Lepisosteus oculatus: one gene and its partners. The protein of the gene in region 3 interacts with the protein of the main gene of each other region in a pairwise test. Links are inferred from orthologs where the notes say so. Each region holds a gene or a part of one and is shown on either strand. Other genes may lie near its edges.

Region 1 (7,499 bases), on a different chromosome or scaffold from region 3:
GCTCAATAACATTCAATGTAATTTTCATAGAAGAAAACACTAATGAAGGCATCAGTACATTGCTGATGCTCATAACAATCACATATTTTAACTCTTGTCATCCAAGACACCAAAGACTTTTGCACAGCAGAGTAATTCAGAATGCATACACTTCACTATTTGACTTCTTTAACACTTTCTAAACATGACACGAGCATCATCACAGGAGCAAAACAAAATCACAAAAAAAAAAACCAAGGTTACTTTAGAAGACCAATGTTCCATTCACAAGAGATTCTTGACATTCTTTAAATCTACATGGACTGCCTAAATATCTTTAATCCACAGGAAGAGAGAATGTATACTATGTAACCTCATACAGTATGATAACTATTGCATATTGTTTACTTGGTGTTTTTAGTGCATTTTCTGGGGTGTGATGTATTTTTATAAATCCTTTCCAGAGAAGTGACAGTGAGCAAGCCTATTTATACACCTTGGGATCTTTAGTAGTTATGTATCAATTCATCCCTGAAGACAACTACCTAAAACTATTAATATTCAACTTTATGATGCTGTTTCTCCAATATCTGAATTGTTTCCAGTAAAGTCACCAAAACAGAGGTACCTGTATATACACGCTTAGCCAGAACCTCACCAATTAATTTGATTTAACTTTCTCTTACCTTTGTATGCAGTCAACACACCAACAACAGAAGAACCACATACAGTGACAAACAGAAACAAATATCAGTGACCATCAATTATAATATGAAGGAAAAAACAAGAACCAGTTCCATACCTTATCCTGCCACAACTTGTTTAAACATTCAGTCAAGGCTGGATAACCCCCAGAGTATCGCCAGAGGTGCACTGCAACAGCAGAACAGCACAGGTAACTATTGCTTTGTCCTACCACTGGAAAACAGCAGGGGTCGCTATTACTTACCCTTACCACTTGAAGAATACAAACACGGGTTTTTCACCCGTCTTTGTATTCTGTTTCAAGGAGAAACAGCAGATCAGCATATAACCATTTAATACCCACCTGAACTACTATAACCATACTGATCACGCAGAAAGCTACAAAAAAGGGTCCGTTTTACAACTTTGGTCAAGTGCCATAAATATGGATGGATAGTGAACATATGACAAATCTCCTACGCTTTTGTATAATACGTATGCCATGAGCTCAATGCAGTACTGAATGAGCTACAGAAAACACTTACCAGCTTGGTCTTGTTCCCCATACCAAGTGTTCCAGCTTCCCACTATCTCACAAGGATAGTCCTTGTCACAGTGCAGTCGGTTCTGAACCTCAGCTCTGCAGGCCACAGACAACAATGCCACAATTGACACTCGAACTCCTTCTATCACCGAAAGTGTGATCAGAGCAAGAAATACCTGAGTAAATCATACTGATAATAATCATGAAGTCATTGCTAATTACTGGTGGATTTTAAAAAATTAACTGCATAAGCTAAACCACAGTGGACCCTTCTGAAATGTATAAAATACACATTCACCACCATGAAGGTGACTCCATAATCCTCTGAAGTGATTAAACTAAGCGTGAATGAGTCAAAATATAAAATACAATGTACTACTTACGATAAGTTGTTATAGGCGTCTAGGTACTCTGGTTTCACATTGTGAACTGAAATAGGAAGGAAAAGAATCTGCTTAGTCACAAAGAGTTTGTAGTAGAGTCTGTTTGCATGGGTGCAGGGTGTATATTGTATATGAATGGTTGGGTTGTTGTTATTGAGAAATCCAGTGCACACAGTGCTTTACAGAATTTTAACAGTGGCATTATTCTGCATAAATTCAAAAACTACCTGAAGAAACAGCAGCACCATTTGAGGTCATCTGTACTCACACTGTATTTTGTACAGGTTGCTGGTCTCTTTTTTTGACAGCAGGTTGGAGTGGGCATCTTTCCTGGGATCAACTTTATGCACAAACAAAGACTGGAACCAGCTTTTGTCTGCAAGACCTCTATTAAATGGGGAGACGGATAAGGGGTGTAGGGTGAGAAACATATTGATAAACAATGTTTCAAGACAAACACCGATTTCTGATTTTGCCTGTCTCAGAGGCTTCAGTCAAAGGTATGTTTGCCAAGACGGCATGTTTCCAATAAGCAGCTCACAACAAATAAGTCTAATTGATTGCTGAGTATTGCCCACTTCAGATGTTTTTCAGCACTGGCTACTCCCTGTTCAGTACATCAACTGTAGTGGTCATGTGATAGCGCCTACTGCCCCGAGGGGCAAAGTTCAGGAACCAGGAAAACGATTGACTTAGACATTAGACCTTTCTCAATGTGTTTCATTTCCTCACATCTGCACGGAATAGTAATTTAGTGAGCTTTCGTGCTATTTCCTAGAACACCAACTACTAAATAGGAAAATGAAAAATGAATCGACTCCATTACGGTCAGAAACCATTTGTTTTGTTAACAACTGGTCAACAACATCATTCATTGTATTTTACAACCGGAGCGCCTGAACCCTTCCGATCAAAGAAGCTGCCATAATTAAAAATATCATACATTTTCTTTTTTTTTTCTTTTAGAAAACGTGTAACGTCCTGTCTAACGTCAGGACACGAGCATTTGCAATGCACCTGCAGGCACATCTTTCACCTTCGTTTCTAAGCACAAAACACTGCAGTGACAGGAGTCTATAAACAGCAGAATAAACATATATATTTAACAAAACCATGCTCTCTGTTAAACCTTGCAACTAGTTCGGCTTTACCTTTTAAAGATGAACAGCCCCAAAGTATTCTTACACAGTAATTGCTGGGGTTTGGGCAGTTTTAAAAACCACGTCGCCGCCATCTTCTAGTGTTTTAAAAACGCTGTGCTTTATTTAAAAGAAAAATACTGGCTGAAATTGCAGTGGTTTCTGGATGTGTCGCACGTGTAGATCCGTGTGTCACATTCACCCAAATCACTCGAGTTTAGTTCCTGCTCAAAGGTTGCACACGTTCAAGTGACGTGATCCTGAATATAACTAAGGAACAAAATATCTTCGCAACGGAGATCGATTCATTGACTCTAAAATAACAAGCCAATGGCTGTATGCCTGGCTCTTACAAACAACTGTTTTTTTATAATGTCCTATAATTATTGTTTTTTTCCCACTGTGTGTAATATAAACCTCTCTCTATGGTCTTTAATATACAATAATAAAAAATAAACAAGTTATGTAATCAAAATCAAAATAACACGTTCTATGAACAAAACAAATTATTAATACATTTACAGTGTGAATGATGCACACGAATGTATTTATTTCCGTCCTTAATCATACTGTATATTAATTAGTAAAAGTCTTTGTACTGCTACTAAATGTAAATACTGTTCTCTTATCATGCCAGTATGCATTATGTTTTTTAATTTGTCGTATACACGGGATAACTAAGAAAATTATGTTACTTAGATGTATGTTGGTCATTCTAATATTAACTAGTCCCACCCACAAATAATATTATCCATTACATTATCTTAATTTATTTTTAACAAAACCACATACCCTGCTCTAGGCTTACTTTTCTACCTTATCATTGTTAATATGAAACATCATGTACAGTATAATTTCTGTTGCACTATTGTTAACAAACTGCAACACCTCTGTGTTTTTGTGTTCGGCACCCAGACTTAACCATTCTGCTGTTTCCCCAATAACCTACAGTAAGTAAATAAGATGTGTTTTCCTAATGTACGTTAAGCTAATCATAAAGAGGAATAATATATACAGTATTCATATTAGAACTTGAAAGTGTTTTATTATCCTGTGTAAGGTTGAAAATAACTCACACTTTCAGATGAATCTGAAACAATTTATAATTTAATTTACTTATTCACTTCTTATGCTCTTATTGACTTATTCAATTCTGTTGCTTTTTTTGTGGGGACAAAACATTAAATCTGTTACAAACACATGCACCACTTGTGAAGGGACGAAAGAAGATTCAAACACAAGGAGACAAGGAGAAACAGTCAACATTGTGATCTTTTTATTATTCGTGCAAAATGCCAGAGCGGTCCAAGGTACCCACGATAATAGACAGATACAGTATGCGGTGTTAAGCTTTCTTCAGCAATGTGCTAAACTCTCTGAAAAACAGAAAAACAAAAACAGTTGTAAACTCACATCACTCTGGGGCTATTATAAAACTAAACCAGAGAACACAAGAAAAACAGAAAGGAAGGAGAAATCAGTTTCATTTCCTCACATCTGGATTATTTGTATTACCAAAAGAATATTGTTTTGTTTTTTGCCTCTATCTAATACTGTACACTATAGCAGTATATGGACAGCACATGGCTCTCAGACACATTCAAATACTACACAACATAAAAATGTTTTAGACTACACATCCTAACTAATCAGTATCTTCAGAAGGCTCATTAGCTTTCTTCATATTAATATATGCTTGTTCAAAAGTGTGCAGCTAAGACTCCTCTAAAAGGTGTTACAAAGATTATTTCAGTGTACCTGAAGTCAATCTCACCACAGTTGTCCTTATCAAGATCATCCATGAGTTGCTGCACTTCTTCCATGGTTAAACAGGTTCCTATCCCCTGCATCAAACAAAAAACACTCATGAGCTTTTGAGCAATGGCAATTTATATGGTAATAATGTTACACATTCCAGGTTTATGACAGAGGCGCTGTGCGTTTACTAACCTTGAGTCCCAGCTGAAACTCTGCTCTAGTGATGAGAGCACTTCCACCCTCTTCCACAGAGTCAAAAGAATCCTCAAGCTTCAAGTTGTTCTTTTTTATGTGATACTTCAGTTTTCCTAAGGGATCTTTCTAGAGGTGACAGGAGCACTTGAGGTTGGATATTGTTTGCTCATTCATTGCAGGTCCAGCAATCATCCATTGATTCGATTCTGTAGCTGCTATCGTTTAATACAGCCATATTTCTTGCAGTAATTTATGCATTGATGTGACAGTTTCTACAGTATGTTGTTTATGTCAGATCTTTTTGCAACTTCCCTCCTTGCACCCTATTCTTCTGGGACAGGTTACAGGTTGATCCTCGTTATGAATAAGCGGTTTTCTGATACTCTATTGCAGGGATGGATGGATGTTTTTGATGTAAAAATTTTAAAAAAGACAGATTTTTCTATCATTTCATCTACATATATCTCAAATCTATGCATGACTGTACAGGCAGTTGGAACACACACAAAAAAAATCTAACTAGCAAGTGGAGGTTAATTCCAAGTAGAAAGATATAGAACTATAACTCTAACACTAAGACTCAACAGCCGAAACATTGTGGTTTTTTCCTACTTTTCAGGATGAAATTAACCTTTAATTTTTCCTTGTCGGCTGATGACTGTATTTATTCGACAAAAACCATTGACCTATAATTATATACCGTTTTCATAGATTCGACAGGTGGTTTTATCTTCTGAGTATCATTCTTGCGCTAGAAGGGGGTCTGTTTTACCCTGTTACAAATAAAATTGCTTTATGCGTTTTTAGCAGTACAGATTAATATTCATATTCTGTTATAATATTCCCCGAGGTGGAGTGTTGTACAGTAGTTGCAGTCCGTCAACAAGCTGTTCGCTGAGCAACTTACTGGGACTTTAGATGTTTTGAAAGAAAAGCTGTCTGCATTTCTTTCGTGTTTCACCTGCAGGTTCGGAAACATTTCTTTGACTTTGTTGTACAATTCATCAAAATCCTTGTTCACGATGATGTCCTGAGAAAAAATATACACAGAACGTTGATTAGTATGCACACACCCATTCAAACAAGGACAGTAATAGTATAACAGCAAACTATTTTAATATGTAATATGTCTGTTATCCGTAACATTCTGTAGGATGTGTATTGTTTTGCATGAGGACGTGAAGAAAACAGTAACTGAGAGCAACAGTTGTGCCATCAACGAAAAGTAAATATATATGAATAATTCTAAAATCAAATTAAAGCCGAAGGTGTAGTACAGAGAAGTCCAGGGTCTCGATGGCAGATTCAGGGTTCCCTTCCATTGATTTTAGTATCCCATAACAGCCAGCACTCTGCATTGGATTTCGAGACATCTAGAAAAGAGAAAGGGAAAGAAATGTGCCTTTAATCCCTAAATAATCTTTATGGTAAAGTAGATATCTAAGATTTCTGTAGGGGGCCCATGTACTTAACGTCAGTCTATTCTTACTTTTCAAAACTGTACCTATAACTATAACTGTTGCTGAATTGTATAGAGGGTTATTTAAAAAGAAAATACAAATGGCTTGATATGTCAAGCTAAAATAACAGGTGTGTTATGTGCCCATATCTACTGTACGGGGGACACCGTAGGAATTATTTCAAAAGTAAGAGATTTCACATCTTACACTAAGGATCTTCAGTGTCTTGTTTTCTTTGAGTCCCATGGCAAAGCGCACTGCACCTTCAGGAGGGATCTGATTGTTACTAAAACAGATACATGCAAGAAAATGATAGCTTTGGAAACGGGAGCAAGACAAAATCTTTAAAGCAGGGGTTTCAACTTCAGTTCCCGGAGGGTTTGGTGTCATTATGTCGTCTTTTCGTAGTTTTCCAGCTCTTGTGTCGCACAGTCTGTCTAATTAATTAAATATGTAATTTTAATACTTTTATCTAGATCCGTAGGTGTTTTATCAGCAATTGCACACATAATGACATGAATGCTCTGAGTAATAAACAGTAAAACACCTCAGGAAAAATCCAATGGATTTGAAATAAGAAAATAATTAGATTGTTTCTTTAATTGGCTGCTCTGGCTGTGATAAAGATGCAAGACCCCTCAGGCACCTGTTTTAGAAACACGTTCTTTAAAACATAGAAACATGTTGTAGTATTTTATAACAAATTCAAATTCAACTACTGAGACATGCCTGTCCGCTTCAATTTTCACCAGAAAAAACACCTATTTACAGCATTTATTCCTAGGAGTTGCACAGGTATAAAACTTTCCATCTACACCGGATAGACATTTTCAAGCACACAGTTTTCTTCAGTAAGTTAATAATGTCAGTCGGTACTTAAAGACTTTACATGTTTCTTCATGCTATGCTAAAATCAGCAGAAAGAGGGAGACAAAAGTTAAGTTTACAGTGAAATACACTTTCATTGGATGGTGGGCATTCATCTGAGTTCAGACTCTACTTTCACATACTGTACTGTACCTGATGTTCAAATCTTCAAGCACATTGTTCACCTTAAGAGCTTCACCGAGAGCTGCAGCTCCATCTTTCCCAAATCCATTGTACGACAGGTCTAGCTTTCGAAGAAATATGTTTGCCTAAAATGAAAATATGATAGTCAAATAAGGTGTATTTATAAACTATTATGTTAGATGTAATATGTTTATTTTACAAAGTACTAAGATATAAAGACAAGTATGTAGTCTTATGCTTCCGCTCCCCAAAATATTTTCATCTGAGCTTTTTCAGAAATGGAAAGTTGCATTAAAACAGATAATGGACAGTACCCCTAAACCTTTTGCCACTGCTATTGAGCTCT
Region 2 (7,638 bases), on a different chromosome or scaffold from region 3:
TTGCTCACTGTGGCACGTGTAGTGCTTTTTCAAGGTCTTTTGAAGTCGAGGAATTAAAAGCCGCAGCTAGCTGAGGCTATGTGCGTGGGGAGCGTACTGGCGCACTATGGCTGCCGTTGCATCATCCAGGTGGGGCTGCACACTGGTGGTGGTGGAGGGGATCCCCATTACCCGTAAAGCGCTTTTGAGTGGAGTGTCTAGAAAAGCGCTATATAAGTGTAAGCAATTATTATTATTATTATTTTGTCAGCTATGAAAGCTTGACTGGCCGGGATAGAAGTGTTCGATCGAATTGGATCCCAGCAGCTCAGCAGCGAGGGCTGGGGCAGAAACTGGGACTGTGTCTGACAGGGCTGGACTAGACCCCCCTCCTCCCGGGGGGCTGGATTATGGCGGGTGTCCGCACCAGGCGCTCCCCAGCTCATGGGATACACGGTGCTGTCCAGACAGGTCTCCCCCTCCCCTCCTCCCTGCCCACAGCCCTGCTCTCTGACTGCACCACCACTGCCCCCGGCCTGCTGTCCAGTCCGGCAAAGAAGAAGATCCAGAGGAAGACAGGAAAGTCAGGAAGTCAAGGATAATAATAATAATAATAATAATAATAATAATAATAATAATAATTGCTTACACTTATATAGCGCTTTTCTGGACACTCCACTCAAAGCGCTTTACAGGTAATGGGGATCCCCTCCACCACTAATGTGCAGCATCCACCTGGATGATGCCGACAAGGGGTACCTACAGGACGTGATCTGTGATGTTCCCACTGGGAAACACAATCATCTTCCCCTGCGCCATCACCCTGCGAGCGATCGTGACGAGGAGATACAGCTCGGACCCCAGGACCAGGAGCGGGTCTTCGGCTCTCCCCCACAATCGTCACCCCGACCCCAGGCCACGCGTCAGAAAATACACACACCCCTACCCCCTACCATGCCATCGCCTCGACTTAGCTCATCCGTCTGTGTCTGGCAAAAAGGCTGGGCGACTTCCTGCATCTAAAAACGCTGTCGGCGCTGATCAGGCGCTGAAACTGCTCTATCGCTCCTCTCGCGCATTTGGAAAGCGCTGTGTGTAGTCATCCGTCCTGCGCCCAGTCTATAGCCTGCACCATGCAGAGAATCTCTTATGTAAGTCGTTTCAGAACCAGAGACGAGGGAAGATTCTCAGTGCCTTTCCTGGTCGCGTTACAAAGCCTGTCTGTCATTCCAGCCCGGTGTCTTATCCATTAGGCCCGCAGTCTGTGCATTATCCCCAACGCCGAGATGTCAGGCTTCGGTTGTGTTTTTTGGTGTTATGCTAAGTACTACATTACATTTAGTTAAATAAATGAGGCGCACGTTTCTTCCAGTGAGCTGTACTGCAATATATATAATGAGACTTCACTCCGTGCACAGAAGCAGGCACACTCTCACTACCCAGATGAAATGACTAAATCCACCTGCCACAGCCCCAGCCTGCCACACGGCTCGTGCCGCGAGGTGCCGGCTCGCCCGTCCACGCGCTGCCCCTCGCCCACCTGCCGGGCTGCACCGCACTGCCTCGCGCGGCTCGCGAGCTGCCGCGGCCCCCGCTTCACCACGCGCGCTCAACCCGCTGAAACCCGCAGGACCGTCGCCAACTTCTCTCGGACCCGCGCCGCGGAGAAGGCAGGCAGCGGACGGGCGATGGCAGCCCGTTGTGTTTTTCGGGGTTGCGAGCGCGGAGGCTCCCGATGCAATTCGAAGCCGTTACCGGTCTGCCGGTCCCCCGCCTCCGAGCCCCGAGCCCCGCTCGGACAGCCTTGGCGACGCTCAGTTGCATTTCTGCACCGGCGGCATCGCGGCTGCGTGCGGCGATAGTGACAGGAGACCCCAGCCGGCAAGCGACATCGTGTCTGCTGCCGTGCCGCCCCTCTCGACGAAACGCCAGACGATGCCGCTCTATCAGACCAGACTCCCTCGATCCCGAAATCGTTCGCCACCGCTTTTCGCGCTGTCTTCCCCACAGCCTGGGCGGCCCCCCGGCTACACCGCCCCAGCCCCGCGGACTGGGGCGCCGAGCTGCGCCTTACCTGCTCCTCCGCGGTCAGCTCCTTCTCCAGCTGGCGATGCCTGTTGTACCACACCAAGGTGTGCAGGGGGTATTTACTTTTCTCCGGAGTTCTCCTTGTGGAAATCATCCTCTGTGCATAGTTCGCTATTCTCTCTCCTCTCTTTTTTCCCCGGTTATTATATTCTCAGGATCGCCGGAGCCGGAATAGCGGCTGGTTACAGGAGCATGATACAGATATAGCGGAATAGATAGAGGGAGCAATTAACGGCCGGGAAATACAAGGCTTTCGAATAGAGATTACAAATAAAAAATAAATACATTCATATGTGACCGACTCGCCTTTCTTGGATTTTCCGATGATTCCACCTTCCTCGCCCCCTCCCTGTCTGTACCCTCTCTCTCTCCCTCCCTCCCTCTCTCTCTCCGTCTCTCGCTCGCTCTGCGAGGATGAGCGGGCGAGGGGAGGATTTTCCGCGTATTGACTCGAGCTGTAAGCAGCTCATCCGGTCTGGCTGGCCGCTGGAGTGACAGGCTGGAGCTGAACATGTTACCCGGCGAAGCACTGCTGCCCCCCGGCTCACAGACACGCGCGGCTGTGGCGGCGTCGTGCGTGTGAATGTGTGAGAGTGAGAGTGTGTGAGTGTGAGTGAGTGTGCAGGGCTCGCCGCCCGCCAGCCCGTGTGTGTGTGAGTGTGAGTGAGTGTGCAGGGCTCACCGCCCGCAGGCTCGCGTGTGTGTGTGAGTGTGTGAGTGTGAGTGAGTGTGCAGGGCTCACCGCCCGCCAGCCCGTGTGTGTGTGTGTGTGAATGAGTGTGAGTGCGTGTGAGTGTGAGTGAGTGTGCAGGGCTCACCGCCCGCCAGCCCGTGTGTGTGTGTGAGTGAGTGAGTGTGTGTGTGTGTGTTTTGTTTCGGGCTGACCGAGCAGACCTGGGCGAGTCGGTCGTGAGGACCGTGTCCAAATGTTGACGCGTCAAATTGAACACGCGGCTCGAGACGCCGGGCTTGCAACATGGTGTGGACGTGGACTCCGCCGTCGCAGCAGCCTGCGTGTATATAGCGCCTTTCTGGGCTGAGGACGCTAGGGCGGTGCCGCCAGTCACAATCACACGCGCGGATCCGATCAGAAGGACATTCCGTTTCCATTCTTCGCTTTCTAGAACAAAACGACGCAGGTGAGACTAGTCAAGGGAGCATAGTTATAAACACAAGAATCAGTTGTCTCTGCAGTTTAATTTCTCTTTTCATAAGTAGCTGCTTTGTTAATGTGGTCGCCGGTGGGGCAGGACGACCCCCCGGGTACCCCCATGAGGGGCTCTAGGCCAGAGGGGCCAGAGGGGGCGCTGTCTCTCCACGCCGCTCCTGGGGGATCTAATCCGTCTGGCGGCCAGTCTGCTTGAAGGACAGGCCAGGGCCAGGCCAGGACACTCAGTAATTCCTCATGGATCGACTTCAAAGCCCCTCGAGACGAGCTCACAGGCGAAATCTTTGTTCCAGCGCGCTGTTTACGCTTTTGCCCGGTCCAAATGTCTGGTCTCCCCGGACCAAAGTAAAATGCTAACCAAGCTTGTGGTTTATCACAGTGCTATGGGATATCTAACGTCTTAAAGACGTCCTTTTAAGTGTTTGAAAAACCGCTTTCCGGCCCAGAGGGTAATATCTTTGATCTTCTACTGCAACATTAAGTGCATGTTACCGCACTTATTTTGAGTGTCTCGGAATCTAAGGGCTTCTGAGTCTCACTTGAGGTCCAATGTCGTGGATCATCTGGACAAAACCCGTGAAGAAAACAGAAAACACTTGAGGACAAACCAGCTTTCAGGGGTATTCCTGACAAACCTCGGAGAAGCCTTTTCGACCGAGGGAAAGTGCGCACGACTTTGAAGGAATTCTTCGATATCATCTCTTTAACACCGGAGCACACAAGTCCAAATTAAGTGGAAGCGCGTTTGAAACTGAAAAGAGGAGACATTTTTATAGGCTTGGGGGATTCTGATGGAAGCTATATGCTGCTGATATCCAGGCTTTTTCCAAGAAGTAGCTGGATGAGACCTTTGGATCAATTAGCTACTGAAAACCAATTATCTAGATGGTCTTCTCGTTTGTAACCGTTCTTAATGTATTTGGTGTTTATAAACGGCTGAATTACCACCGCCTCTTGATACTCCCGAAGGTCTTGGACACCGCTGTGTTTCCAGCGCTTCACGATTAAATACAGCGACTTTTTCGACTCTACGTCAAGACGCAGGGAAACATGCAGGTTCCTCCCAGACGGGGCTACATTTGAAACTACAGTAGCTGCCTACGTAGTTAATCGCAGGTGTCTGTTTTTAATGGGAGTTGCTTGACGGTTTATTGGTGACTCGGCGGTTAGCGCTAGTGCCTCGCAGCTCTTGATCCTGGGTTCAACTCCGCATGTTCACGCACATTGCGGTGGGTTTCCTCCCACCGTCCAAAGGCGAGCTCCTGGGCTGTTAGGTGGGACTGGTCAGGCGTGCTGTAATACGACCTCAACGCCGGCAGTACCGCAAAGAGCAACAGGTGCAAGAAAATATCATTGGATTGTCGTTGATTCTTATGGTGAAAGCAAAACTGAAAGCACGGGTCTATTTTTTTAATTTCTTAAAGTCGAATTATTCATGCATAGGTGAGGGGAGAGAGGGGTGTTCGGAATAAGACAAAGCCGTGTCCGCAATGCTAGCGAGGGAAAACGATCATTGACGCGCTAAATTCGGCTCAGACTGACTGACGGACGGACGGACAGGCAGGCGAAGGCGCAGACAGAGGGACAGGGGCTGCCGTGTGCGGACCCCACCGTGCAGTTAGGAGCCCCCGGGGAGCGGGGAGGCTGTGGACGATATTTGCAGTGATCTCATTGTACTTTGTGGTCTGATGAGCAGCCCCTGGCTGCGATAACGAGCGAACTGAGAGCGACGGTGCCGGAGGAGGAGGGGAGAGCGGCAAGCAGGGGGAAGCCAGGAAAACCGGGGAAAGTGCTGCGCTTTTTCCACGCACGAACACTGCCCTCGCCTCCCTTTCAATGAAATCAATCATCCCAGTTTCCCCTGTAACCCACTTGCTCAGTACGCCGACGCCATATAGGAAAACCGGGGATATTTCTGTGCACTGGGGAGCGAGAAACGCACACACGCAGGCAGAGGCCGGGGAACCTGTTCCGTGCTGTGAGGCTTCCGGGCGATTCGGGAGCAGGGAAGCGGCAGTCCAGCCTTTTTCAGCCCGGGGAACGGAAAGGCGACTAAAATAACAACATTTCAACACCATTGGACACAATGTCCAGGAAAGTGCAAAGAAGCGAGGTCTGCGCCGACTGCAGCGCGCCGGGTAAGATTTTGTTTTTTAAAAGGCGTTGTTAGCAGCTGGTGTTTGGCAACTCGGGGAGGGAAGAGGCACTGGGATGGGAGAGGGTGACCGGAGATGGCGGTCGCATCCCGGGATCGGGGAAATAGGAAAGCGGCCCGGCGCGCTCTGTGGCCTAGATGCCCTTCCACTTGCAGTGACCATTTCTCCCAGTAAAGATTCTGCTGTGGTCGAAAATATACCTATTAACACGAAATCATACGCCACTCGTAGTGTTTAATTGTAGTATTATGTTTATTTTTTTCCAACTGACAAGGCGTTATCCCATTACATTGCGTGTGGTATCTACTGGTATATTTTTAATATTGTACACGTTTATACGAAGCGAGCTGTTCAGGGGAAAGTACGTTAAAAATCTGGGTTTTCAAATAAAACGTCTCCTTTTGTTTTGGGTAACTAGCTAGATTCTCCAGTCTAGCTGGGTAGTTGTTACCTCAATGGGTGTGCGTTACTGGGACATTAAATACCGTGATTACTGAAAGGCGAAATTGTATTATTTCTCATTAACTGCAGTTTTTTTTATTCAATCAGAAGAATAAATGGCAGTTTTAATTGGAATCCGATGTGAAAACAGTTTTGTCGATAAAGACAATTTCCACTGTGTATACCCTAGAGGCCATTACATTATTCCGAAGTCGACTGGTTTTGTAGTAGTAAGCCAGCCGCCTCCGAACATGTCGTTGCCTGCAACGCAATTTACCAGTTTTTGTTGTTTTTAAACCCTCGGAGTTTGAGTGAACCGAGTTCGGCGGATGCCTTTGCAGGCTCCAGAGCCCGGCGACGCCAGACCAGGCGCTGCTGCGCTCGGTAGGTTTTGGGGTCACAGTGTGGGCAGGTTCTTGCCGAGCCCCAGCGCCATACGTGCCGTCACCCTGAGTGACTAAGCAGTTTGTTCTTGTTTTTCGGGGGTCACACCTAGCGCAGGAGTTTGAATCTTTGAAGTGCAGCCATACATTATAAAGTAGTCGAGAAGCTGAGATTTGACAAGACACGGCTGGACGTCTGCCGCCTCCGGTTTCCGGTTTGCACAAGACGGGAGTCTAAATCCTGATTCCTGGAAAGGAAGAGGTTGCGGAGATGTGTTCGTTCTCTGTAAACGCTGTGCAAGGCCCTTCCAGGTTTTGCAGTACGAGCTGTACACGAGTATCAGGTGCAGCAACACTTCACACTTTGAGCCATATTTGGAGTAAATGCTAAAGAAAGAACTGCTGAATCTAAATACTGGGGCACAGTATGCACATTGTTTGCCTGGAGCTGGTCACTCTTGGCACTGGGACCCCAATACACACAAGCACCCCCCAGCCTGGAGCTGGTCACTCTCTGTACTGGGACCCCAATATACACAAGCACCCCCCAGCCTGGGGCTGGTCACTCTTGGCACTGGGACCCCAATACACACAAGCACCCCCCAGCCTGGAGCTGGTCACTCTCTGTACTGGGACCCCAATACACACAAGCACCCCCCATCCTGGAGCTGGTCACTCTTGGCCCTGGGACCCCAATACACACAAGCACCCCCCTGGCCTGGAGCTGGTCACTCTTGGCTCTGGGACCACAGTAGCAGCTGGCTGCGCAGCCCGGTCTGTCTCCCGGCAGCCGACTAGTCTGTCAGAGGGTCTGGAAAGTCGATTTGTTTTTGCGACGACCAGACAAATGTTGAGCTTTTTGAGAGGTGACAGGTTTTCCGGAGAGCATGAACACTCGCACATGCTGTATTCTGTAAGGGTTGGGGGGGGCTTTCAAAGCGCTTTGTTCCACAGTAGATTTTGTTCGGCTTTTTCAAACTCGACTTCCAGATAAAAGAGGCAGAGAGGGAGACAGAGATCCAGTGATATGTGATGGAAAATTGTGATATTCTGCGTAGCAGCTCATCTCCCCTAAGAACTGAGTGAACGCGAGGGGGAATTAAATTAGGATAGATGTGCTGAATTGGGCTAGAGTCGGCAGAGCTGCAGGTGGGGCTGGTCATTGTGTCCTGGCACTGGAGGTCGTGGTGCACGCAGGTGAGAGTGTGGCAAAGTGCACAAGAACATACTTTTGTGCACTTGTGTGCACGTTGCTCACCAGCGGACCTGTGAGAGGGCTCCTGCCGGGCGAGCCCAGCCGCTGGAGTCGGGGGGGGGGTACAGCCGAGCGAGAGATCCACAGCCCTCCCTGCGCGGCACGGGATCAGGCCGGTGGGGGGGTTTCAGTGTGACGTTCAGGGTTCGAGGACTGGAATCTGTTGAA
Region 3 (7,848 bases):
ATATCCAATCATCAAATGTAATTGTTAATGTAAAAACATAGCAGCCTACAGTTACATATTCCTGTGTTTTTAACATTTACTTGGGGATTCAATAAGTATGAGCTCTTGAGAATCAACCTCAATTGTGATTTTGTAAAATTCTAAAGAAAATAAAAGATACAAAATAAAAATAAAAATATAATAAAGAATATATATATATATAATTCAGTACATTCACATTCTTGACTTATTTGCCTGAGGTTCAGGAAACACACTCTTTATTCATTTTCCATTTAAATTCTGTTATTCAAAGAAACAGGAAGTTGTTGTTCCTGAAATGAATTTTTAAATGCTTCAAATTACAGTATAATACTAAAATGTAAGCCATGTCTTAGATAAAGAATTAAATCATTCATGTAAATGAACGAAATAAAACTCTTATTAAAATTATAATTTCTGAAAAGTGTAGAGTTACCCTTTAAACACTGTTTACGGACTCTGTTTACGGGCTCTTTCTTAAGATCAATCCGTATTTGGAAAACAAATGTTGTGTCAGTAATTATACAGTATGTAAACTGTTCATTGTGATGGGATGTACAGTATGTAGCTATTTTTGGCCATGACTTATTACAAGTCAAGGAATGCTTGGAATCAAGTGATTACCTGTCTTTAGCGGTATGAATTGGGTTCCATGTGGACCAGCAGAAAAAGTACTAGAAAATGTAACTTGCTCATATACCATTCCACAAATTAACTTAATATGTTTGACTTTTCATACAGTTTCAGGCACTTTAGTGTAAACATATATTCTTTTTTTGGTTATAATTTTTTCTAGTTACTGTACTGCTCATGGAAGAATTACTTAATTTACAAAATAACTTGAAATTGAAAGTATATACATAAATACATAAATTGTTATTAAGTTTGTTTTACATGCATCTTTACCTAAAGCTTTTTATGACTGAAATTTTATAGTCATCCTCTATGGTCACCTATTACCTTTGTTTTAAAAACAGCTCATATCACACAGTGAACTTTCTCCTTGGACTCACAAGGGATCTTTTAAAAACATAGAGTTCTGTGGTGATGTGGATACTGTTTTCAGTACAGTATTTTCTGCAATCTGGCTATGCAAACTCCATAGCCATAGGCTATGGCTCCTTAGGCTTTCAAACTATGCAAGCCCCCGGTGTGGTTCATGATTTCAGGTATTTCCCTTTCCCTTGAGATATTGCCCACAGTTCTTTGTAGATTTCTGACTGTAAAAATCGTGGGTATGAATTATTCTCCATTAGGTTGTAGACTCTTTTCTGTGCAGCATTAAAGCAAGAGGTCATTGGCACCTGAAGATTCTGGATGATGGTATCTTTTGTATGAAAATCCAAATTGATCTGAAACAAATAAATAATAGCAGATATAAGAAGTCAGAATATTTCTAAAGAATTTTATTCCATATATAATAAATACACTTTTAAAGAAATTATATTTAAGTAAGAGAGTAGAGCATGTAGGAATTAAAGGTGTCAGTAATGTAGTCATTTTTAAATAATCAAGTAATAAGTTTATTCCATGCTGAAAAGAGAAGAAAGAAAACACAACGTTTCAGCCGTGGAGCCTTCTTCAGGTGTGAGCTCCATGGCCGAAACAACATTTTCAGCATGGAATAAACCTATTACTTGTTCCTTTAAAGCCTACGCATGCTGATGCAGCTACCCATTCGAAACATTTTTTAATAATGTCATTAAATGCATACTGACCTCTTTTGGGGCCTCACTCTTGATGAATTTGTTATAAATTGTATTTGCCCTAGAGGCTCGCTTCGCTGGTGACTTGATCTTTCTAAAATCTTCACAGGCAAGCCAGAACTCGATATTCTCTTCACAGAACTCTGATTTCAGGAATATCCGGAATGCAGCCTGTCCATCTGCAATACATGAGAGAAAATAATACTTTTAAAAGGAAGGAAAAAATAAACATCTTATCGAACAAATACTATAATGTAGACAGAAAAACATTGTAAACGTACTTGCAAAACCAAGCAGTAACACAAAGCTTACACAAAGCCACTTTAATCATAAGCCCACTGCAGCATGTGTGTAGCATTGTTTCTCTGTTTCACTTTTTTCTGTTAATGCACATATATTAATTGAGAGACAAATGACAGAAACAAATTCCTGTGCCCTGTTGACTTAGGCCCCGCTCTGATGTCTAGCATATTCACTTCAAAATCCTTGACATGATAAAGAAAGAAAACAAAACTTACATTTATGTGACAGAAGTTTTTCAAGAGACTGACTCCATTGGTTTACTTCTTCAACTGTAGGTCTGTCATGAAAGAACATGATTTTTTAGAATGAAATTTCACTGAGTGTCATCAATAACACTCAGATGCAAAATTAAAATCCCACAGTAAGCCATATATAATTAACATGTATTCTTAAACATATCTTTCAAAAAGTTTAAAATCTGATTGTATATGTTACCTGTAGGCTTTACGTCTTGAGGAATGGGCTTCCTTAGAGGAGGATTTTTGCAAGAAGTAGCTTATCCTTGATCTCCAGTTATTTTGTCTGTTATTGGAAACAAAATGCCACATTATAGGTATCTGTATCTGTCCTTGTATACAGCTTCTCTTCTTATTATTACCTCTAGTTCCTAGTTGTAGTATATGATTATAGTTAAACACTACACTGCATTGTACAGTATGTACTGCTAAAAATTATATAAGCATATTTATGCCATATTTTCCACTCTTGCACACTGTAGAAGAATCTATAAATCATAGTGAAAATGCAAATGTTATCATTATTTAGATACTTACTTGTTTCTCTTGTTTTCAACTGGGACCTCTGACATCTCTTCACCGCTAAAGCAAGCCATATCCATTTGTTCTGAGCTGTACAACAGGGGCAAAAATAATGTACTCTGCATCCTTTATTCACAAATACTTCCTACAGACCTCACTGTCTTTTTCAATCTGGTTTGTGTGGAGCTTTATGTCCTCTGTGTAGCGTTTCAGACATGGAGGCGGTGTTAGATTTACATGTACCTGCTCTGGAAAACCATTGGCTGCCTGGTGACAAATTGTTCTATGTGTTACTTGAGTAAGAAAAGTTCTCACTAGGGTACAGCTGTGACGTATAAAGTACACAAAGTACTGCCACAGGCAAAGCACAGGCGTAACTCTTGCTAAAGTACAGAAAATTAACACTTTGCTTTATCAGATGAGCATAGCTGTAATTCAGTTTCTTCATGCTTGCTATCTACACTGGTGAATTTGGCATTGGAGTCTGTCTATAGTTGGTTGTGGTAGAAACAGAAACCTTTTTTTTTTTCCCATGGAAAACACAATGCTCACTTCTCTTGACAAGTTATGTGCTTCTCATGTTTTAAAAGGTCCTTTATGCCTTTTCATTTTTTCATTTAAATTTTATTTTTTATTTTTTAAGTTTGAATCTTTGTGGGGGACAATTTGCCCATGAAGTAAAGGTTTCATTTTAAGTCCGTTCTTCTGTTGTTCATTCATGGGGACGACTAATAAAAAAATCAGAGATGAAACAACAGAGTTCAAAGTCCTACTTTGGTTCCTGCTGAAGTCCTATTACCTGATTTTTAAGCCCTCATATTTTTACTTATTTTTCATTTGTAGCTTCATTTTCAATTGTTAATTATTGCAAATACTGTCACCTCTGACTGCCCAAAACCCCTGTGAAAAACTTTGATTATACTTTTGTTTGAAAATATGTATATTTTCCTTGAAAGCTAAATGTGTTAAGTGCAGAGGATCTGTTAACAGTATTGTTTGAATCAGGGAACTACAGTATAACCTGGGTAAATATTAACACAGTCATAAAATTTTATAGTGGTTTTACCCTTAGGAAAATATGACCATCCTTATGAATCTACAGGATTTTTCGGAACATTAAAAGCTGTGGTCAAAGCACAAATAGTGACTGATGCAACTCTCTGAGCCACGTCAGAGTTCTCCTAACAGGCCATGACAATAATATGTATAGTACGCAGTAGAAATACACTACCCTTTGACCTATTCAAGGTGAAAAGGTGAAATGAAAATGCCAGTTATTTTATGTGACAAATATTTATAACCCTAACAAATCAAGGGCACAGGCTCTATTTAGAAGTGAGATAAATGAAAAAAATCACATTTCAAAATGATCAAAAACGGGCCAGCACAGTAGCTCCGCTGCGACCAGGAACTGGAAAAGCTGGTTAAAAAATGAATAGACTAACATATCTAAGAAAAACATGCATCATAATCTCATATGTAATTTATCAAATGATGTAATTATAATCACCAAATAATTTGCAGACTGACGTGGGCTCTGCTCCTGATCTGACCTGTGGAAAATGACACCTCAAAGTTGTACGCAGGACATACACTCATTTAGACAATCATTTCCTTTCCAACTGCAATCCTAAACAGAAACTCATAAGGGCATGACGCCACACCCTGTCAATACACCAGTATCCTGCAGGTTTCCTGTAGCACTGAGGAGTTGACAATGTGAATTAAGCCGAGAAACGTCTAGCCAGCTGTAATTAATCTTATGCAGTGACCATGCAGTTAGTTTAATAATGGCACTAGGGACTTCAAGCTTCCTGCCTACTGGCTATAGGATAGTGACAGACTTGAGTTTGAACGAGTTATTCCCAGATTGTAGAGGTAATACTGCTGTTGTGGTCAAACATTTTGTTGGCTGAAGTACAATGGAGAGCCTCTTGTATTACACAGGAGGTTTCATTCCATTTTGAAAACATGAATCTCAGCTCACATTTGCTTCATGTGCCACTGAATGTTACAGATACTGCACAAAATGAATGCTGTCGAAAGATAGAACTGTTTTCTTCATGAGCCACAGGTCATTGCTACAGTGAAACAAAAAAGATGTGGTTAATTTCGGCAACTGCAGGAGCCCACCACTTTTACCCTGAAATAATGTTTGTGTCACAAGGAGGTTAATGTTTTAGAACTTCACAATAAGTAGCATTTCTGCAACAGTACTTAAAAAGTTTCTTTTTTGTTTTAATTTTTGCAAAAGAATCATCTGTTAACAGTCTAGATTTCAAAATTCTGAACTTTGTCTTGATCGTGTCAAATGTTACCACCTCAGCATTACCATTTTAAAAGAATTTTATAAGGGAGGCAGTGATACACAGCACCTGAAGTGCACCTGGTGTAATTAATGTATACACTTTTACAGTGATTTTTGTAATCTTAATCTTGTCAGCATTAACCAGAAACCAGAAACCAGAAAGAAAAATAAAACACTGCACTTCGTTGTTAGGTTAAGTATTTAATCCCTTTGACAAACTACTTAAATTACTTTGAAAAGTTACGTGTTCAATTCAATGGCCTCTGTGTGCAATAACAGTGGTTCACATGCTTTCAGCATAAATATACCAGTCTCTGTAAGTTCTCCCAATGAGATAGTCCATGAACACCAGGAAGCTTTAAAAATGTCTTGGGGATAAAGGTGGCGAAAGTCACAGATCGGGAGAAGGGTGCAAAAATAAAAAACAGTGAATGTCCCTTTAAACAGGGTGAAGTTGATTATTTCAAAGAGAAAAGTGTATAGTACCACCCAACCAATAGGCTAGGCTAGATCAGGCTGTTCCTCCAAACTGAACAGCTGGGCAAAAGGAATCTGGTTAGGAATGCCACCATGAGACCAACAGTAACAGCAGTTACTGTTAATATCCTGATCATTCCACAAAGCTGGCCTGTGTTGCAAAACCATCTCAAATCCTGCATTAAGTGTACGACACTGTGCATTTAAGAGACATGGCAAAATATTTTTGGAACAAACACAAATGACACAATTTTTTTTAACTTAAATTTGAGAGTTATGTCTGGAGCAAACTGAACTCAGAGCATCACTAAGGCAACACCATCTCTACTATAAAGCAAGGTGTTTTATTTTATGTGGCTGCCACTCATCACCAGGGACTGAAAATTTTATCAAGAGGGGAAAATAGATGGTAATTCTTAGAGAAACCTGATTAAGTCTATTAAAGCCCTAAACTGAAAACAGTCAAAGAAAGAAGGAACACAACACAATGAAAATCACAATGGAATTATTTTTATCAGAAATTGTGAAAATCTTAGGACATTTTGAGCCTCTCTGTCCACCATCATTAAATTCTACTAAGACTGCTGTCTGACAGGGAGTGCCTCTAATCGTAGTCTACCGAGTACTATACTAGAAAACATTAAAAAATTACACTAATGACTCATTTTCCTTTGTATTAAAATTAAGATGATATACCTCAACCTTAATATTCTATGTAATTTAGTTGTTATAATTTTGAAATCTATAAATGTTTAAAGCCTTTAGTACATTCAGGTTACTCTGACTGTACATAATGACTGCAATTTAACTCCATGCAAACAAATCTTTCTCTGACATCTTGCAAACTACTACTACTACTACTACTACTACTACTACTACTACTACTACTACATCATCATCATTATCATCATAGGACAGCGTGGTGGTGCAGTATTAGTATTGCTGTCTCATGATGCTGAGGGCCTGGGTTCAATTGCGGACTTGGGAATCTGTGTTTGTATGTTCTTAAAACAAAAAGAAAAAGTCAAAAGAAAAAAAAAAGAAAAGAAAATGAACACCAACAACTTTATGACTTCTTCCCCATTTTTCATATTAGATCTTAAAACTGAAAAAAAAATTAAATGCTCCTGAAAGTAAATATACTTACTGTGTTTTGTAGCTTGTCATTTATGGGGTTCTTGAATGTCATAATACCAAAATGTTCAAGTTTGTTTTAAAAAGAAACACAACTAATATGAAGAATGCTTATTTACTTTGTAATTTGTTTGAAAGAGCATTGGAAACAATACAGCCCACGTATTTCTGAGGTATGCAGTCTGCAAACCTTTAGTTGTGACCTTTCGTGTGCCGAGCTGTGAGTGCATTACATGAGTAGGCAGAGATGTCTGCATTTGTTTTAAAATAAGACCACCTCTTCAGTCCCACCATAAACTAACAAACTCTTTTTCCATTTTGTTTTTCTTCTTTTACAGTATGTGTAAATTGTTTCCTTTCACACCGCCTACAGCTGATTAATGCGTGAACTTCAAAATGCCTCATTAAATACTTGCATGGTCAGAGCATACCAAACTGCTTGTAACCTGGCATGAACTGAATAAACTGCTAAGGAAAACTGAAAATAAACAATATTAATTTGATTTTGGATTTGAAAGTGCTTTTCACTGCTTCACAATGCATAAGTCATTGATTTAAATTGGTTCCTTACACAAGGTGTTTACAGCATCTGTGCTCTACAAACTGTACTTTTTCCATTTCCTAAATGATGTAATGCAAATATATCTGTAACAGGCTTTGACATCAATACCAGCTTTGTATTAATCCACATTATTCAAATTGTAAATAAAAGCTGGCTGCCAAAGGAATCGCAATGCAAACTTATTTGCATGAGTTCATAAACTCAGATAAGGAAGTTTATACTAGTAAACACATATACTGAAAGTTTGTTTCATATAAAGGGATACATTAATAATTGACCAAACAAATGTTTATAAGTGTGAAAAGATACTTCCAAGTACACTGTCCTTTTATTTTGATATTTCTAAATTTACCCGTTTACTTTCAGTAAAAAATCCAATAAGTGTTAACAACAGGAACAGTCTTCCAGTGGAACATTATTATGGTCCAGGGAGAGCAGCACAGTAATGCCCCAGTTTCTACTCACTTTCAAAAGACATGCTGGCTAGTTTAACCTGTGGTCCATGTGGGTCCTAATGCCCCAGTATAGTGATGGGGACACTATACTGTGAACTGGTGCTGTCCTTCGGATGAGACGTAAAAC
Region 4 (7,759 bases), on a different chromosome or scaffold from region 3:
AGTAATGAGGATCAGCTGATCTGGCCATCTGATAAGGGGAATCTCTGATTGACAACATGAAAATCAACCAACAATGCCATTCTGCTTACTTTAGACGGGAATTGGTTTCAGTTTAGAGGCAAACAGCAAAGCCTCCCCTGTCTCAGTGTGCCAGCTGGCAACCCTAGATGCCATCTCCCTAAGGAGACGCGGGATCCGTTTCAGAATCAATGCAAGGTAGAGGAGTAGTGTTCATGCAGACTTCCTGGATCGGTCTTAGATCATTGATCCCAGCTCACACCGCACAACACGCTTCATTTGAATCTCCCCTGTGACCAGCACCCCTTATATAACCCGTACAGATGAGTCCGCTTAGGGCACGAATGGCGGTAACGAAATGGATAACAAGTTGTCTGGATGTTGGTTCAACAACACAGAGTTCCATCCGGGGGGAAATCATTGAGGAATATATCTCTATAACCCTGTAGAGACTGAATAATCACAGATTCAACTACACAGTTACTGGGCGAGAAAAAGAGACGGGAGGACAGAAAGACCGGGCGATGACAGGTCCCCCACCTCACTGTTTATTTGTCGAGTTTTTTGGGCGAATGGGACCGGATCCGTCTTTCTTCTGGGTTTAACTAACGCCATTAGGTAACACGGAGAACTCGCCCAACAGAACAGGAAGAGGTGACAGAATCCGCGGTGCTGAACGATTAAACCACAGCTGGATACAAAGTAAACACTCTCCTAATAGATTTTTCGTTTGTTTACTGGAAGATCCACTTCACTGTCTTGATTTATGGTGTTAAACCCTTTCCTAATCCTGTTATATTAGGAAGATTAAACGGGGAGGGCAGATCCACACAAGTGTGAGGTATCACCACATTCTATAGTTAAGTAACAAGAAAAGACACCTAATCCGCCCTAATTCTTGATTAGCTCTCGCAGTTTAACGATGAAGCACATTCAGTGCATCTCTGCTCCACGTTACCATTATGCACAGCAATTTCATAATTAAAAATAAAGTTGAGCTAAAACAAATACAGTATATCGCTCGTACTCATCGATGATTAAGACTGGTAGAACTGGAATAGCATTTACCTTTGAGAAGGACCATTAATTTGCTTAATACGGCGCGGTCCAGTCTGGTCTCGTGGGTAAATTTCCTCAAAATCTCCAAATATCATCACCTTGTCGTAAGGAGCGGTCGACTATGAATGCAAAAGGATCCGTTTGGGTGTCTTGTGTATAATGACAGTCTGTACCTCCGAGGAAACCAAATAGGTGAAGGAGTAGCGCCTCACAAATTAAGTATCCAAAGAAGAAACAAAAAGAAAATAAAGAAGAGTGTGCTCGGGAAACAAAAACTTCTCAGTGGAAATTAAAGAAACTGCAGAGCGCTATTAGAAAAAAAAATCTCCGTAACCCGCATAAGGTTAAATTGAAAACCGCACCTTAATTCCAAACCGGTCCACAGAAGAGGCGGTAAAAAAGCCACAACCCAGATCTGTACTTCCAGAGCAAATGTCCTACTAAAGCACATAGCACCTGAAAAGGAGAAACGAACAGACCACAAGGTATGCCCTTTAGGTACTAAGCGTCGCGAACAGCCCCTTCTTCCGTATAGTCTCGAAAAATGATCTCCGGACCCTTTGGGTAATTCCCGTTTTGCTTGGTTAGCTGTGATAATAATGAAGGATAACGCAGGGAACCGTCCAGTCCTCTGTCATCACAGATAGACAACACTTTGGTGACAGCGATTTCTTAAAAAAAAAGACGCAGAGAAACCCGGCAGCTGGGGGGGGTTTGATTCAGAGGAGCTTGTGATAATTTGATCTTCCTCCGTTGTCCTCTCCCGGCGTCCTGGCGTCGAAGAGATTCGAAACTCTCCAGCGCAACACAGAATAAACTGGAAAGACTTTACTTCCCCCTTCTTATTTTCCGCGTCTTTCCCGGCTTTTAGGAAGCACGGGTTGATCGAGCAAACCAGCCTGGCGCGGGCTAGTTCTCCATTTTAATGCCTCAGACCTCGTCGCGCTAGATCCCCGAGGATTTCCACTTCATTTGGGATCAAACAAGGGAATCCCACCCACGCACATTGCTAGCGCGTTTGAAATGCACAGGCACACGTATACAGTCTATGTGTACATGCGTGTGCTCTCGCATCTATGTTGCCGTCCCCCGGCTGCCCTCCATTCCCCCACCGCACGGACGCAGCGGGCTGTTTCTTGGAAGAAATCAGCTTGCTGTCTCCAGTTTCACGCCACGGGTGAAAGCGAGCAGGGAGGCAGAGGGCAGCGCGCGTTTGAAAGAACTGAGGGCAGAAAAAATGACACGCATCCAGGCAGGCCTGTTAATTTAAGCCGGATCTGGCCAGAGGGAATCCTGCAACGGGACTCCTCTCTTTAAAAAGATCAAATGAATCAAGCGCTTAAGCGGCTTGTGTTTGGGGGACTGGCAGGTCAGCCCCGGTTTGATACCACGCACTGTAAATGCAGAGCGACGTGTCTTGGCTTGGCAGCGGGTCTCGGAGAACGGGCTGGGCGGCTCGATCCAGCCGCTGCGTGAGCTTGTAATTTGTCCTTATTTGTTTCCGGATACACGCCGGTCTCGCCGTTGAGCCCGCCAGCCCCGGAGGAACGGCAGGGTGTTACCGCGCTCCTGCGCTACACAGCCTACGGAAGAAGAGAGCAAGAAAGACATCAGTTGTCCTCGGCGATGCTCGAATCGGATGCGTTGTGGGAGTGTTGCGGCATTCCAGTCGCATCCCAAAACTTTGCATAAACACTCGGCTGATTCCTGACGCTCTGAATGATTCCTGCGGCACGGCAGCGTAGTTTCTCCTGCTTGAAATACAGCATGACGGTTTAGGAGACTGTCCCGGATACGAATGCAGGGGTGTGTTTTTTTTTATTGCTGTCAAGCTATGAAGCAAGCAACACTACATAGAGATTGACGCTCTGCTGGCAGGATGGCTACGGCGACCAGCGCTATACAGTACATGCCAAGGAATCGAAAGAATAAACAACCCTGCAGATGTCTTGCGACAGGGAATCATCGGCTAAATCGAGAGGCTGATTAATTACTAAAAGCTGGAATCAGTTTCCAGTATCTCCGTAGACAAGGCGCCCACCAGACACTAGGAACTCCGCTGCCGCGCGGCTTAAGCGAGGATGTGCGAGTCTGAGAGATTATTCCCAAAGCTCGCCTGTCACAGGGAAGATGGGGGTTTCGGGTCGCTTGCCGGCAGATATGAAGGCATTCCAGGTCTAGCATTCATATACTCCAGCTAAAACTGATCTCAAAAGACGCTGCGCTGACATTCAGTATATCGCTAGCCTGAAGAGGTGCTGAGATGACTGGTTATAAATTGCTAAGGAAATGTGCAGAAAGAGGCTCTGTATTTTTATTTCAAGCTGCATCACATAGAGATTCCTTCCCTCACCCGAAGCAACAGTGCACACAGTAGTATCATAAGCAGAGAAATTAGAAATGTTGCCCCTCCGTGCCATTACTTCACTATCAATCAGTTTATCGGATCCCTTTCAATTCGGAAAAGGGCTGTATGTACCTTGTACCTCGACTTGCAAACCTTGTCAGCAGAAGTGAGTTGTCACCCTCACGCCAGATTTCATCCGGAAGGGACACGGCTGTACCATTTCTTCTGGTGTCTGAGTGGCATGGTGAACAAAAGCTCCGAGCTGGTATCTATAGTGGCTGAACCGTACGATTCTAAAGTGAAAACGGAATGTATGCACGGAGAAATGTATATTTTGGAAGGTGAACCTAACATACTGTACCAGCAGTGGGGAGCTGTGATTAACGGCTTGGACCCTAACTGGACGGTTGTGGGTCGAAATCCCATGTGAAAAACAGAGCTATTGTAACCTTGAGCAAGGTACTTCACTCCGCTTGCTCTATTAAAAATGCCCAGTTGTATAAACGGCTGCAAAGGGAATGAACTATAGCTAAACAGGCATCGTCAGGCACATTAAATACAACAGATCTTACATTTTCTTTCTGACAGTTTATGCGATGGATTGCGGCTCAGTGGGACGCTCGTTTGCATATTCAAACCATTCCCCACAATGTCGCTGTATTTATTTTCCCCAGAATGCTATAAACCTCCACGAAAGCTGTCAAATGAATGAACAATGTCTTAATCACACACTGCTCCAGTGCTTCAGACACTTATTGCTAACTTTGTGCAATGTTTCCTTTAAAAAAAACCCCACCATATTATACCACATTTGCGCTTAACGCCTTGCGGGGAAGCCGAGGAGTTTCAAGACGATCGAACCCGCTCCGGCTCGGCGCCGAGTGAAGGAGCTGTCCAGCGCAGAACGGCCCTGAAGTACTCTCGTCGATGGTTTCTGCCTTCTGCCCTGCTCACTTCCTAACTACAAGAGTCACACAGGAGGCATTTAAATACTTCAAGTAACCGACTCGTGTAATTGGAAGAAAGATTAAATGATACTGACAAAACGCCTTTTTTTTTAATGGCGCCCCTCTATCACCTTCGGAAGGCTAAGGTGAAGTGTAACTAACGTCCACCTTTACAGTAAAAGTGAACGCAAAGCCATCTTGAAATCAAAACTTAAATTTTTGATTAAAGAAGGGGGGACAGCTTAAATAAACTACTGTAGCACCTTCCAGACATTTCCCATGCTCACGAGCGTGTATACGTGCCGTGCACTTTTGACTGAACAGTTCAATGTCTGGGACTTTCCTGAACCCTCTGCCCGCCGCACTAACACACGGAGCAGCACTCCCAGTGCGGATACACATACGAGCACAAACAGGGGAGACAGAAGGGCGTTCCTTGCCTACTGCCTACCGCTCCCCTCTTTTCTCGATCGATGATTTTCACCAAAGAGGTGCTGCACTTCATCACGGCTCAGACATAAGCGACAGCCGACAGACCTACGGGGCGCAGACGCTATTTTCAGGGTGCGCGCAAGAGTGAGACAGATGCATTAGCAGGGCTTTTTCTAGATTCCTCCGGTGTAACTCCGGTGTTAAAAGGATAGGGCAGACAGAGAAAAACAACGCTATTTCTTGCCTTGAAAGAAGAGCACAGAGATGGAGAAGGTCAGAGGGACTTTACCATTTCTTGTTTCAGGAAATAATCTACGTCGTCCACAATAGCTAACGACACGCGAAGCTATTGCTGTTTGACAGGAGAAAAGGGGATGATGCAAAACTTCTGAGGAATTAAGTAGTCCTATTTGATAATAAAGTCTAATCACTTTTTTTAATAAGTTTTAGATTAAATTAAGTCATTACGAGATAAATCACATAATTAAATAATGTGATCGAGCGCCTCTGCTGGCAAGAAAAAGCATTTACATGACCAAGCTTTATTAAAGCAAGAACAAGTTACTTTAGAGTACATTGGATAACCTTCTTGAAACATCTTATTACTTCACTAAAAAATGAAAGAACACTCCATTATTAATATTACATAATATTACATTGTTATAGTTACATATTTTTATGACTTTATCATTTCCAATTATTTAATATTTTACTTTTTCTGATTTAAGTTATATTTAAGCAAGGTTCCTGTGTCCAGGTTAGGACAGAAGCCAGATTTTTTATCTTTCTATACATAAAAACACAATATAGTTATATTTCAAATAATGACTATACATATTTATAGACATCAAAGTTGTAAAATATGTTGTAAAGTTGAGTAGAATGCCCCACTAAGCCTACATAATAAAGATGATAAAGAATCCTTTTCGGTTTAAACTGGAAACCTGTAAAATTGAAACACTACGGTTGGAGTGTTCTTATATCTGAAATTGTCTGCATGCTTTCAGAATCTGAGGTCTGCAGGAAGCGATTGTGCAGTTAACAGCAGTGCACAGTTCACAGGTCACCTTTTCTAATACTATAGTAGTGGGGAAAAGACATCAACCAGATTCAGAGCCTAAATTAGGGTTGGAGGACTTGTCTGAGAAATATTAAAAGAAACAAACATTTTGCTGCTATGTTTGTTGTGTAACGGTTCTTCAGGAGTTTTATGCTGTATCAGCGTTTTATGTCTGTATCGGCACCTATATGAGATAGACAGAGACTAATGATATTATTGACATAATAACAGCTAACATACCTGCTAATGACTACCTTAACCATCAGCAGGAAAAAAAAGACCCAGCCAATATTATTAGGCCAGGCAAGGATCAATATCAACCATGGAAGGTCATTACAAATACAGAGAGAAAGCCCTAAGGTCTTTGGTCTCACACTGATCAGTGTGAAGGCCGTTTGTTAGGATGTGTCTTGACAGCACAGATGGGAGGTTTGGGGCACTCATTGCCTAGAATCTGAAAACTTGCAGAAAGGTCTTATATTTGTGGTGTGAGACAAGAGGCCTTTTATTTCTATTGGACTATAAAGCAAAATGACACTCAATCTTGGGACAGTGTCTAAAACTCAGATGGTGTCCAGGGGTATGATCCAAAGCACAGACAGAGCAGGAAAAGGGTCACAAATTGTCAATCAGACATCACTCATTTGGTATAAACCTCCTCTCTTCATATGGACAACCTTACATTTCTGCTGCCTTCTTCCTCTCGAGCTTTCATCTCATTGTTGCCTGTGAAAGCATCAATCAAAAGCAGTTACTGTACTACTGAAGCTGTACGCCACCAGTACTTCTGGATAGTAAGTTAACACCAGCAAAGGCACACCACTGTAAATCTTTTTAAAATGCTAAATGAAGAAAATGTTTCTGAATGTACAGGTATTTGTAACATGTCATAAAAGCTCGGAAAAAAACTCTAGTCGAATGCAGCAGAAAGAAAATTCATTTTAGTGGTTCTGGCTGTCTTTAGGCATAATAGAAGATTTAGTTTTTGAAGCTCGGAATGCAATCCAGATACACAATGTTGTGCACATTACAGCTCTTGCTCAGTCTTCAATTACCCTTATGACAACATGAGGAATTCTGACTGTAAGGACCAATGTTTTATTCTCTGAGAACTATTTTCAGACACTTGTTCAGTGGCTTTGTCTACAAATCAATACCAGAGTAAATAATTTATTTAGTAAAACAGAACCTTATAAATTAGACTGATTAGATAGCTGACAACACATTTGTAGCAAAAGACATTGGAGAATGTTGTGCATTTCACGCCTTTAGAAGTCAATAAGCTGCAATGCCTACAGGACGAGGTCTATTTATTTACTTCTGCGCCTTACAGATGAACAATATGAGTCTGCCAACAGTGATGGAAGCCCCAATTATTGTTATAAGATTTTTAAAAATGAAACATAGACTCTCGAATAAATAAGATGTATTCTCTAAAATTTCAAGCTTATTTCCTTTTGATTTTCTCAAAAAAAAACCAACAGAAATGTTTGCATGATTCCTTAACTTTAAGAATAGTTTGGGGTGTGTGTGTGTGTGCAAACAGCTCTTGAAGCCAGTCATTAGAATACATTCAGCCTACGGCTTATGGGTATCCCTTAAATAATCAGTTTCTAAACACTTGGAACATCGTCATTTTTTTCACTGAAGCAGATGGCTTCCTCAATTAAGCTGTTTAGAGATCATTTGATCTGTATGATCAAATGAAAGCACCAACACCCTGTAGTTCCTAAGGACCACTTCTGGCCATCTCTGATTTAAATGAACCAATTAACTTACTGAATGGATCAAAGCTCACATTCTATGTGTTTTCTTACAAATTGACAATTTAAGGGTGACCTATTAGCCCTGCCGGATTGTGACTTTCTAGGATGAGGGCTGGCCACAGGACCTAGA

What was found.
Region 1: the proteins of rgs2 (region 3) and nipsnap1 interact in a two-hybrid assay, tested with the Homo sapiens proteins (2 studies listed by BioGRID and IntAct). The link is inferred for Lepisosteus oculatus from reciprocal best matches to the Homo sapiens genes RGS2 and NIPSNAP1.
Region 2: the proteins of rgs2 (region 3) and git1 interact in a two-hybrid assay, tested with the Homo sapiens proteins (2 studies listed by BioGRID and IntAct). The link is inferred for Lepisosteus oculatus from reciprocal best matches to the Homo sapiens genes RGS2 and GIT1.
Region 4: the proteins of rgs2 (region 3) and lrfn1 interact in a two-hybrid assay, tested with the Homo sapiens proteins (2 studies listed by BioGRID and IntAct). The link is inferred for Lepisosteus oculatus from reciprocal best matches to the Homo sapiens genes RGS2 and LRFN1.

Annotation. Positions count from the first base shown.
Region 1 is NC_090717.1:4,647,002-4,654,500, reverse strand, and holds the start of nipsnap1 (protein NipSnap homolog 1), read right to left. Parts: upstream 3,031-7,499; 5' UTR 2,825-3,030; coding exon 2,742-2,824; intron 1,978-2,741; coding exon 1,859-1,977; intron 1,637-1,858; coding exon 1,591-1,636; intron 1,304-1,590; coding exon 1,209-1,303; intron 853-1,208; coding exon 782-852; intron 1-781. Other genes in the region: lrrc74b (leucine-rich repeat-containing protein 74B), read right to left, coding at 4,075-4,105, 4,488-4,573, 4,680-4,808, 5,590-5,712, 5,960-6,055, 6,350-6,428, 7,163-7,278, 7,468-7,499.
Region 2 is NC_090721.1:10,575,493-10,583,130, reverse strand, and holds the start of git1 (ARF GTPase-activating protein GIT1), read left to right. Parts: upstream 1-4,459; 5' UTR 4,460-5,321; coding exon 5,322-5,373; intron 5,374-7,638. Other genes in the region: ankrd13b (ankyrin repeat domain-containing protein 13B), read right to left, coding at 2,054-2,161. UniProt on the Homo sapiens protein: GTPase-activating protein for ADP ribosylation factor family members, including ARF1.
Region 3 is NC_090704.1:12,399,189-12,407,036, forward strand, and holds the start of rgs2 (regulator of G-protein signaling 2), read right to left. Parts: upstream 3,003-7,848; 5' UTR 2,911-3,002; coding exon 2,801-2,910; intron 2,550-2,800; coding exon 2,463-2,549; intron 2,305-2,462; coding exon 2,243-2,304; intron 1,904-2,242; coding exon 1,737-1,903; intron 1,371-1,736; coding exon 1,176-1,370; 3' UTR 1-1,175. UniProt on the Homo sapiens protein: Regulates G protein-coupled receptor signaling cascades. Inhibits signal transduction by increasing the GTPase activity of G protein alpha subunits, thereby driving them into their inactive GDP-bound form.
Region 4 is NC_090698.1:3,518,716-3,526,474, forward strand, and holds the start of lrfn1 (leucine-rich repeat and fibronectin type III domain-containing protein 1), read right to left. Parts: upstream 3,226-7,759; 5' UTR 1,087-3,225; intron 1-1,086. UniProt on the Homo sapiens protein: Promotes neurite outgrowth in hippocampal neurons. Involved in the regulation and maintenance of excitatory synapses. Induces the clustering of excitatory postsynaptic proteins, including DLG4, DLGAP1, GRIA1 and GRIN1.